Cricetulus griseus: one gene and its partners. The protein of the gene in region 3 purifies or fractionates together with the protein of the main gene of each other region. This does not show direct contact. Links are inferred from orthologs where the notes say so. Each region holds a gene or a part of one and is shown on either strand. Other genes may lie near its edges.

What was found.
Region 1: the proteins of Htt (region 3) and histone lysine acetyltransferase CREBBP purify together in Homo sapiens (affinity purification with western blotting; 5 studies listed by BioGRID and IntAct, with this or other methods). This does not show direct contact. The link is inferred for Cricetulus griseus from reciprocal best matches to the Homo sapiens genes HTT and CREBBP.
Region 2: the proteins of Htt (region 3) and Sqstm1 purify together in Homo sapiens (affinity purification with western blotting; 4 studies listed by BioGRID and IntAct, with this or other methods). This does not show direct contact. The link is inferred for Cricetulus griseus from reciprocal best matches to the Homo sapiens genes HTT and SQSTM1.

What each region holds. Positions count from the first base shown.
Region 1 is NC_048600.1:42,538,463-42,543,427, forward strand, and holds part of histone lysine acetyltransferase CREBBP, read left to right. Parts: intron 1-937; coding exon 938-1,040; intron 1,041-1,513; coding exon 1,514-1,660; intron 1,661-2,298; coding exon 2,299-2,416; intron 2,417-3,074; coding exon 3,075-3,246; intron 3,247-3,688; coding exon 3,689-3,733; intron 3,734-4,965. UniProt on the Homo sapiens protein: Acetylates histones, giving a specific tag for transcriptional activation. Mediates acetylation of histone H3 at 'Lys-18' and 'Lys-27' (H3K18ac and H3K27ac, respectively).
Region 2 is NC_048600.1:64,656,910-64,661,063, reverse strand, and holds the end of Sqstm1 (sequestosome-1), read left to right. Parts: intron 1-150; coding exon 151-371; intron 372-735; coding exon 736-931; intron 932-2,365; coding exon 2,366-2,523; 3' UTR 2,524-3,199; downstream 3,200-4,154. Other genes in the region: Mrnip (MRN complex-interacting protein), read right to left, coding at 3,280-3,768. UniProt on the Homo sapiens protein: Molecular adapter required for selective macroautophagy (aggrephagy) by acting as a bridge between polyubiquitinated proteins and autophagosomes.
Region 3 is NW_023276807.1:103,745,761-103,751,411, forward strand, and holds the start of Htt (huntingtin), read left to right. Parts: upstream 1-2,420; coding exon 2,421-2,662; intron 2,663-5,651.

The DNA.
Region 1 (4,965 bases), on a different chromosome or scaffold from region 3:
TTTCTCTGTGGCTTGGAGGCTGTCCTGGAACTAGCTCTTATAGACCAGGCTGGTCTAGAATTCAGAGAGATCCACTTGCCTCTGCTTGGACTAAAGGCGTGCACCACCACTGCCAGGCTGGTTTAGTTTTTTGAACATTTTTTCCCTCTGTTCTTTTAACCACACGTGTTCACAGTGTGGGTAGTGCTATCAATGAAATTGTGATTGGTGGCACTAGTGAGTCATTTAAGGGACAGGGATGTAGCTCAGTGGTAGAGCACTTGTTTTTTAGTGTGCATGAAGCCCTAAGTTTGATATCCAGCACTGCTGAGAGAGAGAAAGGGGGCGGGGCAGAGACAGACCAATTAAAATCACCTCTGTGTTACTTTTGGAAAACACCTAAATGGTTATCGATTAATAATGGCTGGGAGAATGGGTTGAAACCCTAATACCCAAATTCTATCTACTCTCCTTCTGTTTTATGGTAAAATTTGAGAAATCCTATTAATCTTTCTCAGTTGCATCTTTTTCTTTAATATGAAGATTATAGGCAATCTAATTTTCCCATAAACTTAGTTTACTTTCTGACATGTAAGAACAACCCCAATACATAGGTATGTTCCAGAAAGGTCAGTGTAGTTGTTGAGAGTTTGATATTAATGAAACAGAAAAGTTGGAGACTGCACATGATCAGTGATCATTTTCTCTGTAGCATATGCAGTTAGGACACTAGCCAACCTCCAGACACATTTTATTTAGGCTGTAGAGTAAAAATGGGAAAAATTGACAGTGGAATTTGTTGAAGTTAGTCAACAATTGAAAATTGTAGCTTCCAGAGTCCTACTAAATCTTGGTATCCTTCATCTGAGTTCTTTATGTAGTCACTTGGTTAGCCATTATAGGAACTTGGAAGTGTGTATAGTGTAGGGATTGATTTCATTTTTCTTTGTCTTTAAAGGAAACAACCCCATGAGTATTCCAGCAGGTGGAATAACAACAGATCAGCAGCCACCAAACTTGATTTCAGAATCAGCTCTTCCAACATCCTTGGGGGCCACCAAGTAAGACTAAAGATTCAAATAGATCGTTTCTGAAGAACAAGTGGGTATAAGAATGGGTGGGAATTATACAAAACTCCACATGTGGCAGAGAATGAATGGGAATGCATGCTATTTTTTCTTTTCTCATATTTTTAAAGAGACAGGAAAGAGCGGGAGGGAGGGGAGAAAGAGTCCCACAAGGGGGTGTTGGATTCCATGGAACTAGAGTGACCAGCTGTTGCGAGCCATTGATGTGGATATCTGATCCTCTGAAGGAGAAACAAGTACTCTTAACAGCAGAGCTGTCTGTCTAGCCTCTCTTTCTTTTTAAATGATAAATGTAAAACAGAACCAACTAAACAGATTGAATTCTGGTTGATATACATTACTTGTTTCTCTTAAACATTTTAAGTCACATATTGTTGAAGAAGGTTGAGTGTATTTGATTGATTCACTTGAGTAGCTGGATGAAGTGTTCTTATTTCCCTCTCTAGTCCACTAATGAATGATGGCTCGAACTCTGGTAACATTGGAAGCCTCAGCACGATACCTACTGCAGCACCTCCTTCCAGCACCGGTGTTCGAAAAAGCTGGCATGAACATGTGACTCAGGACCTGAGGAGCCATCTAGTGCATAAACTGTACGTTACCCTCATCAGTCAGATTCACATTTTGTGGCTGAGGCATTGTTGAATCTTTATGGGTGCATAGATGTTTGGTTTTGTTTTTTCCTTTGCATGTTGAATCCCAGTTTATAGCTCTTAGCTGCAAAGGGTCCATGCTTGTTTCAGAAACCAATCCCCACTGTAGAGAGTCCTAGGAAGGCTGAGTTTCCCAGACTCTGGGCCCTATTGTATGTTGGCATCAGACAGTTAGAGACGTGACCGGAAGCCTACCTATCCTCTTTGCTTTTGAGTTCACGTGTGTTCAGTTACTTAGGACTAGTTATAGAGTTCCCTAAAACTTGGGGGAAATTTGGCTCTGGTGAATATGTATGGTATGACCACATAGTTATTTTACATACAGAAAGTAATGTTTCAAACTACCTCTCCTAAGTTGAAGTGAATCAACTATAGATTCTTCCTTATTTTGATCTGTTTACAATGAACAGTTTCAAAATAGAGATTTGGAATCATACTTTTCATAAAATGATATAACACATTTGTGATTATTATGTAGGTTAAAGGTTGGTATTGTTTCCATTGTTCATGCACAAGGCAAAGAGAGTTCTGCTGTGACCACTTTGAAAGTAGGTTGATCTAGTATATTGTCCTTTCAGTGTCCAAGCCATCTTCCCAACTCCTGATCCTGCAGCTCTGAAGGATCGCCGAATGGAGAACCTGGTCGCCTATGCTAAGAAAGTAGAGGGGGACATGTATGAGTCTGCTAACAGCAGGGTAGGTTGTCAAGCAATTGTTGAGCCTATAGGTGGGAAATGATATTTGTCTAGTTCTTTACCCATAATTAGGAGAATCTGTGTGATATAGGAGACTCCTTACCTTGAGACTTTGAACAGACATGTCCCAGTAAGGATGAGATTCCTGTACAGCCCTTTTGTGAATGAAGCACAAATATCATAGGAGGACAGAGGATGCATTAGATAAAGTGTATGTACCCTTGGGTCATCTCTTTTCACCGTGGGTATTCTTTAGGATTCTTCTATTATATTATTGCCAGTATCAGTGAATACCCAAGAAAAAGCTCATTTGTGCAGAAAAAATAAACAACTGTATTTAGCACCTTCGACTGGTCGTATCTAGTAAAGTCACTAGTTCAGTAAAGTGGAAATTAAAGGGTATGCTGACATCACTAGGAATTTGGGGTGGTGATTCTTTGGTTTATTAAATGTGTCGAACCTTTGTTAATGTACTTAAAATGTGCTTAGCGGTATAGTGCCTTCTTAGGCCCTGAGTTTGATCCCCAGCAGCAAAATGTGAATGTGTGAATAAATGAATGAATAAAAAGAGTTCATTCATTGCTAGTTAGAACATAAAAATAAATGACTGGTTCTTAGATTTTTCAGTTCCTTAATATTGAATATTATTGCTTTTTTAGGATGAGTACTACCATTTATTAGCAGAGAAAATCTATAAAATACAAAAAGAACTAGAAGAAAAACGGAGGTCACGTTTACATAAGCAAGGCATCTTGGGTAACCAGCCAGCTTTGCCAGCTCCTGGGGCTCAGCCCCCTGTGATTCCACCAACTCAGTCTGTGAGACCTCCAAGTAAGGACTGTATTTCTTTTTACCAGCTCTTAGCCTGCCTGCTTAGTTTTCCTTCTGTCTTTGGGGTATATGTCTAAGAATGTACAATTGTGTTCTCCAAAAGTCTGTGCTTTGGAAGCTTTCTGTATGGCAGTGTCCTGTGAGGACATTGAGCCTCCCTCATAGGAAGATTTCTTTTTGTTTTCTTCATTTTTGGTTGTTTGAGACAGGTTTGCTCTATAGAGCACTGACTGTCCTAGAACTCACTCTGTAGACCAGGCTGGCTTTGAATTTAGAGATCTACCTACCTCTGCCTCTCAAGTGCTGGTATTAAAAGGTGTGTGCTACCACTGCTTGGTATAGGAAGGCCTCTTAAAGGCTTTGCTGCTAAGTTATTGGGTTTTTTTAACTTGTTTATAACTCCCACCCCCCTTTCAATTAATTAATTTTTTCTCCCTTGTAGATGGGCCACTGCCTCTGCCAGTGAATCGAATGCAGGTTTCTCAAGGTATTTATTGTCAGCCGTGTTTTACTTTAACTTTCAATGTTAGCAAATTATCCCCCATTTTCCCTTTTGTTTTTTTTTTTTTTTTTTTTTTTTTTTTTTTTTTTTTTTTTTTTGCACTTTCCATTCTTTTCTGATAAGAACATAGTCCACTAAATAATTCCACTAAATAATGTTAGCCTGTTTTTTAAAATTTGGAAATTAGAGGAGCTTTTTCCAAAGAGGTCAGAAATAGGATTTTGGACTAGCAACACCCCCCCCCCCAGAAAACAAAAACAAACAGGGGAGACATTATTAGGAGATTATAAAAAGAGCCATATTTTAGGAAGGAAAAGGCCTTTCTGAATATTCAGCCTGAGAGTCTGTAACCCAGTTGGTTTCAAGTACTTGGGGACTCAGAAGGTACAGTGCTGCTTCAGGCCATCAGGATTGAAGTTGCTGAGTAATTATCAACCACAGGAGGCTGTGTGCATAGCTCCATGCCTGGCTGGAGTAGTGATAGCTGTCTAAACCATTAATCGCTCAATTCAAGATTCTGTGGTCATTTGGAGTAGATAAGGCTTCAGGGCTAGGGGGTATTTGTACGCTCTTTAGATCTTGACATACTGAGACTTGAATATCAGGGTATTGCTCCAAGTTGTGAAATAAAGTGGGGACATTATCCAGATGGTAAAGTAAGGCATTGCAGTTTGAGAGGGACAGGTAAGTGATTTGAAGTTGTAACAGTGTTATTGAACACTGAAACAGACACTGAATAAACTTGCCAAGAACTTGTTTGGATGTATTAGATTTGAGGGGTAGAGGAAGTCAAGTGGTTAAGAAAATTGAGCCATAGCAGTGTAGCTAAATGCTTATGGGTACATGGACATTGATCTAGATAGGGAGCCACAGTTGAGCTGGGATCTGACAAGATAACTAGTTAGCTACAGATGGTAAGAGACATTCTCTGGGTCAGTACTTGCCAGACTTTCTTGCTGGCAATATCAGTACCTAAGAATGTGGGTTTCTTTCAATGCTGTTTCTCAGTATCTGCACAAAATTGTCATGGAGAGGAGACTTTTATGTTATAAGCTCCCTGGAAAGTCCACTTGGGCCTTATTGGAATTTGGCCATTTGAAGGTGGCAGTTTTGGACAGTCACTGAAAGTATAAGAAGATCCTCTTGTGAATATAGCAATGGTGAGGCAAGGTCTCTCAAAAACTTTAAAGAATTCTTTTATATTACAGTGTTGGATA
Region 2 (4,154 bases), on a different chromosome or scaffold from region 3:
GCTGACTGCCAGTGTCCCAATCCATATGTGCTGTGAGGGACTAAGTCTGAAGCACTTCCTAAGTCCACAGTGCCCAACTCACCGAGTCACTGATGTCACAGGCAGGGGAGGCCTCTGGACTTGACAGCTTGATTCCTCCTCCTGCTCTAGGCATTGAGGTTGACATTGATGTGGAACATGGAGGGAAGAGAAGCCGCCTGACACCCACCTCCCCAGAAAGTTCCAGCATGGACACAGAAGACAAGTGCAGCACTCAGCCAAGTAGCTGCTCATCAGAGGTTAACAAGCCTGACGAGGCAGGCGAAGGCACTTCACAGTCCCTGACAGAGCAAATGAAAAAGATCGCCTTGGAGTCAGTGGGACAGCCAGAGGTAGGTCTGCTTTCTCCCACTAGCTTTAACTGACCTGCTTGGCATCTTGGCTTCAGCCCAAGCCATTCTGCAGCCAGAGGGATCCTGTCCTTCCTGTTATCCCTGTGGTGTCTCCAGTCACTCTGAGCCTTCAAACAGAACTCTGTTGAGAAAGACTTTCTTGGATCTGGAGCGGTAACTCATTATGAGGCATTTACCTGATATACATGAGGTCCTCGGTTCAACCCCTATCGTTACGGGAAAAAAATCAGACAGACATGTCCTTTGCAGGCAGCTCTCTTTGCCATACTTTGCTGGGAACAGATCGTGGGGTCCCACTGGTCAGTCACTTAGACCCCTGTGCTCACAGCAGGTTGTATTCTAGGAACAGATGGAGTCTGATAACTGCTCAGGAGGAGATGATGACTGGACACATTTGTCTTCCAAAGAAGTGGACCCGTCCACAGGTGAACTCCAGTCTCTACAGATGCCGGAATCAGAAGGGCCAAGCTCTCTAGACCCCTCACAGGAAGGACCCACAGGGCTGAAGGAAGCTGCCTTGTACCCACATCTCCCACCAGGCATGTGGTCACCAGAAGTTTCATTTTCCTTTGCTTTCAGAGTATCCTAGCCCAAGTCTGGTTTTGGTAACACAAAATGGGGTAGCATGGCCTAGGTTTTTTTTTAAATGGCAGTACCTAGTTGTGTAGTGCAGGGTAGCTTTGGGATTGTAGGCTTGTCTGCGGCACACTCCTTGGTGGGGCTGTCAGTTGACATCAGAGAAAACTAGAAGCTGGTCTGACCTCTTCTGTTTGCATCCAGCAACAGTAACCTCATCTCATTTTAAGTATTTCTAAATCTCAATACCCAGATGTTCTGAGAAGGCAGATGTTACAGGAAAGGCAACACTGGTTTGGGCTGCTTTGTACCATGAACTGAACTCAAACCCTACACACCATTTCCTCAGGGGGTTGCAAATTTTAATGGCAAGCACCACAGTCAAGGCCCTAGTAGAAGCCAGGCAGAGTATGGAAAATGCTGGACAGGAGTGGCTAATCCCAAGTGTACACCCTGCAAGAGAGGCAGCCTGCTCCCAGGCTAACGGTGTTCAGGTGGCTAACTTTTCTCCGGGCCAGATTTGGCCTTGGGGCTTACAAACTTATTTTGTGCATGAGAGCCAGAGGGGCAGCAAACTGGTGCATGAGAGTCTGGGAAGGGGCTGTAATCATGAGTTCAAGGCCATCCTGGCTACACAGTGAGACCTACCTCTGTATCTCCATGGCAGACTGCTTATCTCACTTGCAAGGCTCTGGACTGGAGTCAGACTAGAGCAGGGGAGCTGAAGAACTGGCTCATCCAATAAAGTGCTTGCTGTGCAGGCGTGGCAACTGTGTCTGTAGTCCAGCATGGCAGAAGGCAGACAAAATCCCTTCACAAGCTGGCTAGCTAGATAGACAAGCTGGAGTTGGCAAGCCATGAGTTCAAGTGGGGAGCAACAGAGGAAGACTCCTACTTCAGCTCTGGGCTGCCACACCTTCACACATGCATGTACACCTACATAGGAATATAAGTACATACGCCAAATAACAACAGAGGGTGAGGAATCAGAGGCAGTTAGAGGAGATTCACGATTCACATTTTATTATCTTTAAATGGTTTTTATTTGGGTTGGTTTTGCGATGGTGTCCCACTGTTGCCCAGGATGTCCCTGAATGATCTTCCTGCCTCCTCTTCTTGAGTGTTAGAACTACAGGCTTGAGCCACCACATCTGGCAATAAACTTAATTGGAAAATAACTGCACTCATTTGTTTACATACCTTCTGGCTGTTTATGCTACAATGGTAGAGTTGAACAGTTGTGACAGACTGGAAAGCCTACAAAACAGGGCTGTTTGGCCCTTTAGCTGGCCTCTGAGGGTTCTTGTGAGGCCTAAACAGGGCAGTCTTCCTGGCAGGCAGGACTTGCTATGTTTGGAGTGCTGCAGGGTGCCTGACTTTCCTGTCTGTTTTGGCAGAGGCTGATCCCCGACTGATCGAGTCACTCTCCCAGATGCTGTCCATGGGCTTCTCTGATGAAGGTGGCTGGCTCACCAGGCTCCTACAGACCAAGAATTACGACATCGGAGCTGCACTGGACACAATCCAGTATTCAAAGCACCCTCCGCCATTGTGACGGGCTTGTGCCGAAGCCCTGTGACCCACCCCCTTTGTCTTGTAGTTGCATCAAGTAGAGCAGCAGGGCCTCAATAGGGCCAGTTTCTTAGCATTCTTCCAGAATCTACAGGTGGGAATGTGTGAAGCCTTTAAAGCAGTAGGAGAGTGACATGAGGGGACAGTTCCAAGAGTGTACATGCTGACGCCTGAGAACAGACCCAGGTACTTGTGGCTGAGCTTCCCTCTGCCTTCCCTGAGCCTGGCCTTTGCCAGGGAGCTGCAGAGGTACACTGCACTTGCTCTTACCGCCAGCATTGCACCAGCAGTCAGAATTCTTGTCTGATGACCTTCTGTGTTTTCTTTGTTAAAAGTGATTAATACACTGACAGTTATTTTCAACAAATAAAGCTATTATGTTAAGAGGGGGCTGTCCACAGTAAGTCAAAGGTGGCGGGCATTTGGGGCCTCTGGCTCCTGGGGGATGGAGAACTCTTGAAGTCAGCTGAAGGGTCTCACCATATACTTTTTAATGATTCACACTTAGTTTTCGTTCCAATGTTAATGCTTTTAAATGAAACCCCATGTAGCTTTCTCTGACTTGATTTCTAAATGACCTGTAATTAAGTGGCATATGCACTTTAACCAACCCTGTGGTCCTTATTATTGTTGAACAAGAAAAATCTGTTTGACAGGCATATTTATTTGTTCGGGTTATTTGTTCTAAAGCACCTCCGCCTGTGGCATGGAGGACCCATTACATGAGTCAGAGTGAAGGTTACAGGTCATCCTCAAAGTCCTCCCCAGTTGTAAAGAGGTTGTGCACTGCTGGGGCCTTCTGTGCCCCTTGAGCCAAGGGCCTACCATCTGCTTGAGGAGTCCCCATGGCCCATGGCTGCTCTGGGGTCTTCCTGCCAGGCCCCTCTGGCTGGGGTGTGGTAGCGGGAGTGGTTTGAGGGCGCTGGACAGTGTCAGGGGCCCTGCTGAAGTGGCCTTCCCCTGGAGTCTTGGCATCAAGGGTCCCTTGCTCAGCTTGTGTTGGGTCAGCTAGCCTGGTGCCCTGCAGAAATCTTGATGGGTTCTCATCCACATGTGGGCTGTTTCCAGGTGACAGCAGAAACCGTGCCCATTTAGAAGATTGGGCCTTGACCTGCAGGACAGGACTTGGTAGTTTCCATCTAGGAAAACCAAGCTCCCTGATGTGGGTTGCAGCCCCGAGGGCAGAGCTGCCAACTTGTCGCTCTGTCCCTAACAGGCCAGTGGAGTCCTGAAAAAAAGAGAAAGGGTTCTGTTCAGCTTGGCAGGACTGTTGGCCAATCCCTGCAGGCTAGGGACATGCTGTTACTGTGAGGTCTAACAAGTCCGTTTCTAAATGCCCCTACCTTACCCTGATCTGATAAATCCCATGACCACATTTCTCCCATAAAGGAGACACCTTGAGTGAGCCATCTCCTGGGATGCTTTGGGACAGGCCAGCAGTCCCCATGAGGAGGTGTGAGCAGGGAGGGGCCTATACTCCACTACCTAGAGATGCAGTTAGTTCATCAAGCCTGTTTGGTCCCAGCTAGGCTGGAACAGCTCTTCAAAGCTGGACTGAGGGTCAGGAGCCCAGGTGGCTGCACCGAGGTCTCTGGGAGGTGACAAGGTGCTGAG
Region 3 (5,651 bases):
AGAACAGATGGTGGCCTCTCCCCTCTCCTGATGGGTCTTGATATGCAGCCAATCTGTTTTGGAACTCACTTTGTAACCAAGGCTGTCCTTGAACTTGAAATACTCCAGCTTCAACCTGTCTATTGCTGGGATTACAGGCATGCACCACTAAGTCCTGGAGAGAGTCTTTAAAGAGGTATTGAGATAAACCGAGGCTATTAGATCTTAATCCAGTTACATTTTTATAAAAAAATTAGGGGACAGACACAGAGCAAGGATGGTGTAAAGCCTCAAGTGGAAGCTGCTCTGCCAACACCTGGATTTTTAATTTTTAGTTTGTGGAACTATGAGAATATAAATATCTAATGATGACTCCCAGTTTCTGTGGGTCTATGGGCCCAGCTTATGTAAGTCCTCTGCTGCCTGCTTCTCACAGTGGGCAGTCTGGTACCACTTCCCTCTTATCTGAAAGAATGGCTTCAAAAGAATCATCTTAGAGCTTTAGTGATGTTGGCAGAGTCCACTTCTTTGTGGGCTGATAGACCACCAATATCAGGCCTGAATGTTGACCATGGGCAGTTCTTTGTCAGTCTTGCCAATTGCTCTTTCTCAATGTGTGTAATCGGGGCTGGAGAGATGCTTCAACAGTTAAGAGCACTTGTTGCTCTTGCAGAGGACCCAGGTTTGATTCCCAGCACCCACATGGTGGCTCACAACCACCTATAACTCCAGTTCCAGGGGATCTGATGTACTTTCTGACCTCAGGCATCAAACATGTGGTATAACAGATACAGACAGGTAAAACATGCACACATAAAAAGAATAAATCTAATTTTAAAATCAATGCAAGTTGAGAAGATGGTAGTGAGCAGGACTAAAATTACATTTGTAACCTAACAACAGTGTGACATCCCATTAACTTCGCCTTGTATTGGTTAGAAGTCAGAAGTCAGCTGCCCATACTTAGACAGTGCTAAGAGGCAGGGCTCATTGGGCCTTCCATGTCTGCCTACTAGCAACTACCAGCTGTTAGAACTTGCCTCATGTGGGAGCTGGCACTGGCTTTATGCAGCGGACAGTGGCATTAGTAACTGGAGGGACATGGAATTCTAAAGACTTTCTCTGCTGTCCTCAGTTTAACAGGGGTTGGCTGCTTATACCTCCCATGGGTAGTGTTGGCTCCTGTGTACTTGGCCATTTTGAGAAGATGGAGGAGTTTCTCATGGCCATGGAATAGGGCTCTTGAGTCTTAGGGGTAGCCTGAAGAGCTTAAATGGGTTCCTAACTAAATGCATCACCTCCAGTCAGATCTCTCTGAAGCCAACACCTTTTGCTGGACAGGCTGAAGGAGCTGGGTGTATCCATACTATTCTAAGCTTCCTGTTTAATTGCTCACCAGTGGGAGATGGAGATTCTGGAGACAAGGACCTCAGCTCTGGTGGCGATGAGGCCCCTTGTAGGTTCTGGCTGATGACCAGAGCAGTGCCATGGTCCAGCACTGTGAAGTTGAAGTGTCCGATCAGAGTTGCACTAACCCCAGCCTCTCTTTGGGCTGCAGGCACTGCTACTTGTTTGGAACCCTTTATCAGCTTCCTCCACAGCACATCGTCTGGTGCCGCCTTTTTTTTTTTTTTTTTTTTTTTTTTTTTTTTTATAGGCTTTCATGTCTGAGCTAACCAGTGCTTCAGGGGTCCACGGATCACAAGGGTTCTTTGGTCCTGCATAAAGGTCACTCTGGTTCCCTTCTCATTTCAGGGAGCCCTTAGCATACTGCATTCGGGACTGTATAGCAGGCCATCTGTCAGCTTGCGGACAATGAGTGCCTCTCTGGGTTTCGGGTTCTGAGCACCACCACCGCCATGGGTGGCTTTCTGCAGGGAAATTTCTTTGCTGCCCTTCCCCTTTCCAACCTCTTAGTCTTCCATGTCTCCCCAAACCCTACTGAGTTGCCAACTCCTCCGCCCGCCTCTTTTTTCTGTCCTGTAACTCCTAATCTAGTGCTCGGCCACTCCCCTCAAACCCACTCTTGGTTCAGCTCCGCCCCTCATCTAGCAACCCGCCCCGCCTACCTCATCACGCTCTCTCCCCGCTCCCTCCAATCAGAGGCTTGGTTTGCCGGAGAGGGGCGGGGTCATATCGTAGGGGCGGAGATTCTTAGCAAGTTGGCAGAGGCCCGGCATGCTTACAACCAGGCATTGGGAAAAATGACGCTTCGGCCTGTCAAATCTGCGGATCCGGCGTGGCCTCTCTTCCGTCGGCATGACGTCACAGGACGCAGGCGCCGCGGGGGTTGCCGGGACGGGCCCAAGATGGCTGGGCGCTTTGGTTCCGCTTCTGCCCGCCGCGCAGATCCCCATTCATTTCCCCGCTGCTAAGTGGCGCCGCTGAGGGCGACTAGGCTCCAAGCCTTCGGGGTCTGTCCCGCCGGGCAGGAGGCCGTCATGGCAACCCTGGAAAAGCTGATGAAGGCTTTCGAGTCGCTCAAGTCGTTTCAGCAGCAGCAGCAGCAACAGCAGCAGCAGCAGCAGCAGCAGCAACAGCAACAGCAGCAGCAGCAGCAGCCGCCACCACCACCACCGCCGCCGCCTCAGCCCCCTCAGCCGCCGCCTCAGGGTCAGGCGCCACCGCTTGCACCGCCCCCACCGCCGCTGCCCGGTCCGGCCGAGGAGCCGCTGCACCGACCGTGAGTCCGGGCGCCGCAGCTCCTGCCCTGGGCCGCTCCCCTGGCCTGCGTGCTGGAGACAGCCAGCGCGATTCCCTGCCCAGAGAGAGGGTCGCCAGTCCTCTTCCTGGCCCGGGTCCTCGCCTTGTGGGGGTCTTTAGCTTTCCTCACTGGAGGCAGAGCCTGGTCAGGCCTGCGGCGGACTCGCCGAGGGGCGTCTCGCCCCCAGTGCTTTCGCCCTTCTTAGCTTGTGAAGTTAGGGAGCGAACTTGTTTCTGTCTTCGGGAGAAACTGGGGCTGTGGCTCACATGACTCCAAGAGAACTTGGAGAGGGCGAGACCTGTCTCCCGGGTCGCCTCCTTAGGTAGGCCTAGATGCTGGGAGCGCAGGACAGCGCGAGTGATGTGCGGATAGTGGATGACATAATGCTTTTAGGAGGCCTCAGCGGGAGTGCTGAGGGTGGGGGAATGTGAACCATCCAAATTGGATATTCTTTTTCCAAGTGACACTTGAAGCAGCCTGTGACTTCAGGCGCTTTATATTCTCCTGGTGTTTCGTTTAGTTCATGTTACAGTGTAGTAACAAGGTTTTAAGCATCACTGGAGAGGTATGTTTCTGTATGCTCCTATTGGCCTGCAGGTAATTGGATGAACTGTGGTTGTCAAGTACATGATGAGTTACTTAGGTGTGATTATTAATAAAAATTATATGTCTCTGTGTCATATATATATATATGTGTGTGTGTGTGTGTGTGTGTGTGTGTGTGTGTGTATGTATGTATGTCGATTGATATTTATTGCCTATATTTTCTGCTGGAAATAAAATGGACATGTTGGTGATGCGCAGTTTACATCAGGGAATGATTTTTATCAGTGTTACAGTCAGACTTGTTTTTAGAACATGGGCCACTCTGTGTGCCAGTGAAAAAAATTCCTATTTAATTCTTTGCTGACATCTTGTCATCCTTCAGAAGCTTGCTGCATGTGACTGGTGAGAATATTTGAAACAGAAGAGAGACCATGAATAACAATAGTCTTAAAAAAGAAAATGATGATCAAGACATTTCCTGGAAGTCCACGATGAGTGTTCAGCCCTGTACTTTCTTGCAGTTCAGGCCTTTCAACTGGACATTTTATTTCTAATGTGGATTTCTATAATTAATAAGGAGAACTTTCAGGAAACAACCTACTGAAGAATCCCATTATTAATCCTCATTTAGGAAAAAAATTGTTTTGTTGCTGGGAATTTAGCTTAAGGCCTCACACATGCTGGGCAAGTGCTTTACCACTGAGCTATATTCCCAGCCTATTTTTAGTAATTTTTCTTGTTCTTGTGCTTCTGATAGGATCCTTTTTGCTGCCCTGGGAATCTAGTTTTTTGTTGTTGTTTTTTTTTAAATGAAGATTTGGGGAAAAATGTTGGCTTATTTGATAGAATAAAATATAGGAATAAATTTTTCTTCTATAAGGTCAAAGAGGGTTTGAGTAGAAAAATCTTTCCCTTTAGATAAGTAATATATTTTGAGACAGTCTCACTGTGTAACTCTGGCTGACCTGGAACTCACAGATATCTATCCTCCTGCCCCTGTCTCTTCAGTGCTGGGATTAAAGGCATGTGCCACCATGCCTGGCTGTATAAGTATTTTCTAATTATTAGATTCTTAACACGACTCTGTCTCTCTGGGTGTTAGGAATTGTGCAAGTTCACATATTCCTCATATCTTCTGTAAGGGAGGGTTGGGGCGGGGTGGGGTAGGGTGATTTCTCTCCAGCTGCTTCAAGCACAAATTCAATCTGTTTTTGCATAAGTAATTCATTAACATGGTCCAGTTCCAAAGTTAGGAAAGGTTAAATAGTAAAACATCTCCCTCCCCATTCTCCTGAGTGCCTAACTCTGTCCGCAGTAGCAAGCACTGTTACTCATTATGTGTCCTTTCAGATAAAATCTGGGCATATGTTAGGACAGATTTTTAAATTATTTATAGACAAAAGTAGTTTGGAACGAAAGCTTTTAAAAGTTTTAAAACCTTGTTAGTTCACTGTATAGCAAGAACTAACTGGAATATTTCCCATAATCAGCTGCATTAGGCTTGTATTTATTTTAACTAAAAGCATATATCTCCTGTTTCTGTATACTTTGCTGTTGGAAAAACAGGTGTTCATTAATGATAAGTAACAAACATACTGATTGGAAGCTTCAATTTTGGCATTTTTGTCCACTTGCTTCAGTTAAAAGCCCCCCCCTTCTTTTCCTCCAAATTGAGACCAGCCAAAACAATTTTAGAATAAATCTGTTCTATTTTTATGGCTCTCATTGTGTTACAGAGAACTAGTGTCACAGCCGTGCGTGGGCTTCTGTTGAAATAGCTGAGAGCTCCTTTCTCTGATCAGTGTATAGGATGCAGGAGCTCTTTGGGACTGGCTGTGGGGGGTCTGATGGGCCTTAAGCAGTTGACATTCACTTTTAACCTTTTTCACTCTTCAGATTCCTACCTCATTTTTCCTGATTGTAGTCATTCATTTACCAATATTTGCTGATCATCTCCTGTTTGCCTAGCATTATTCTAGCTGCGGATTTTAGCAGGTAACAGTTATGTTCTCATGAAGCTAAAATTCTAGGGAGGGATATAGTAAGATAGTATCTTAATAAGTGATGAGGTACAGTAAAGTAGGGAAGGGAATTAGGAAATGCCAGGGCTTAAAGTGTTGTTTTAGACAGGATGTTTAGGTAATATCTAGTTGAAGACTTTTTGGAATAAACATTTTTAAAGAGTCAAGAATCTACTAGGAGGGTGTATGGAAGAGTAGTGTTCCTGCAGGGAGAAGTTGTCAAAAGCTTTCTTGAGTGGGGATTAGTGATGACATTTTTTTTCTGGGTGGAATAAGTGAGGGTAAGTGTTGTTGGGGAGGGACAAAGGGTAGAGGAAAGCCACATTGGTGTTATCAGTTATTGCATTTGGCTCCAAATAGAAAACCTGGCTACAGAAGCTTCAACAGGCAAAGGCAAGAGT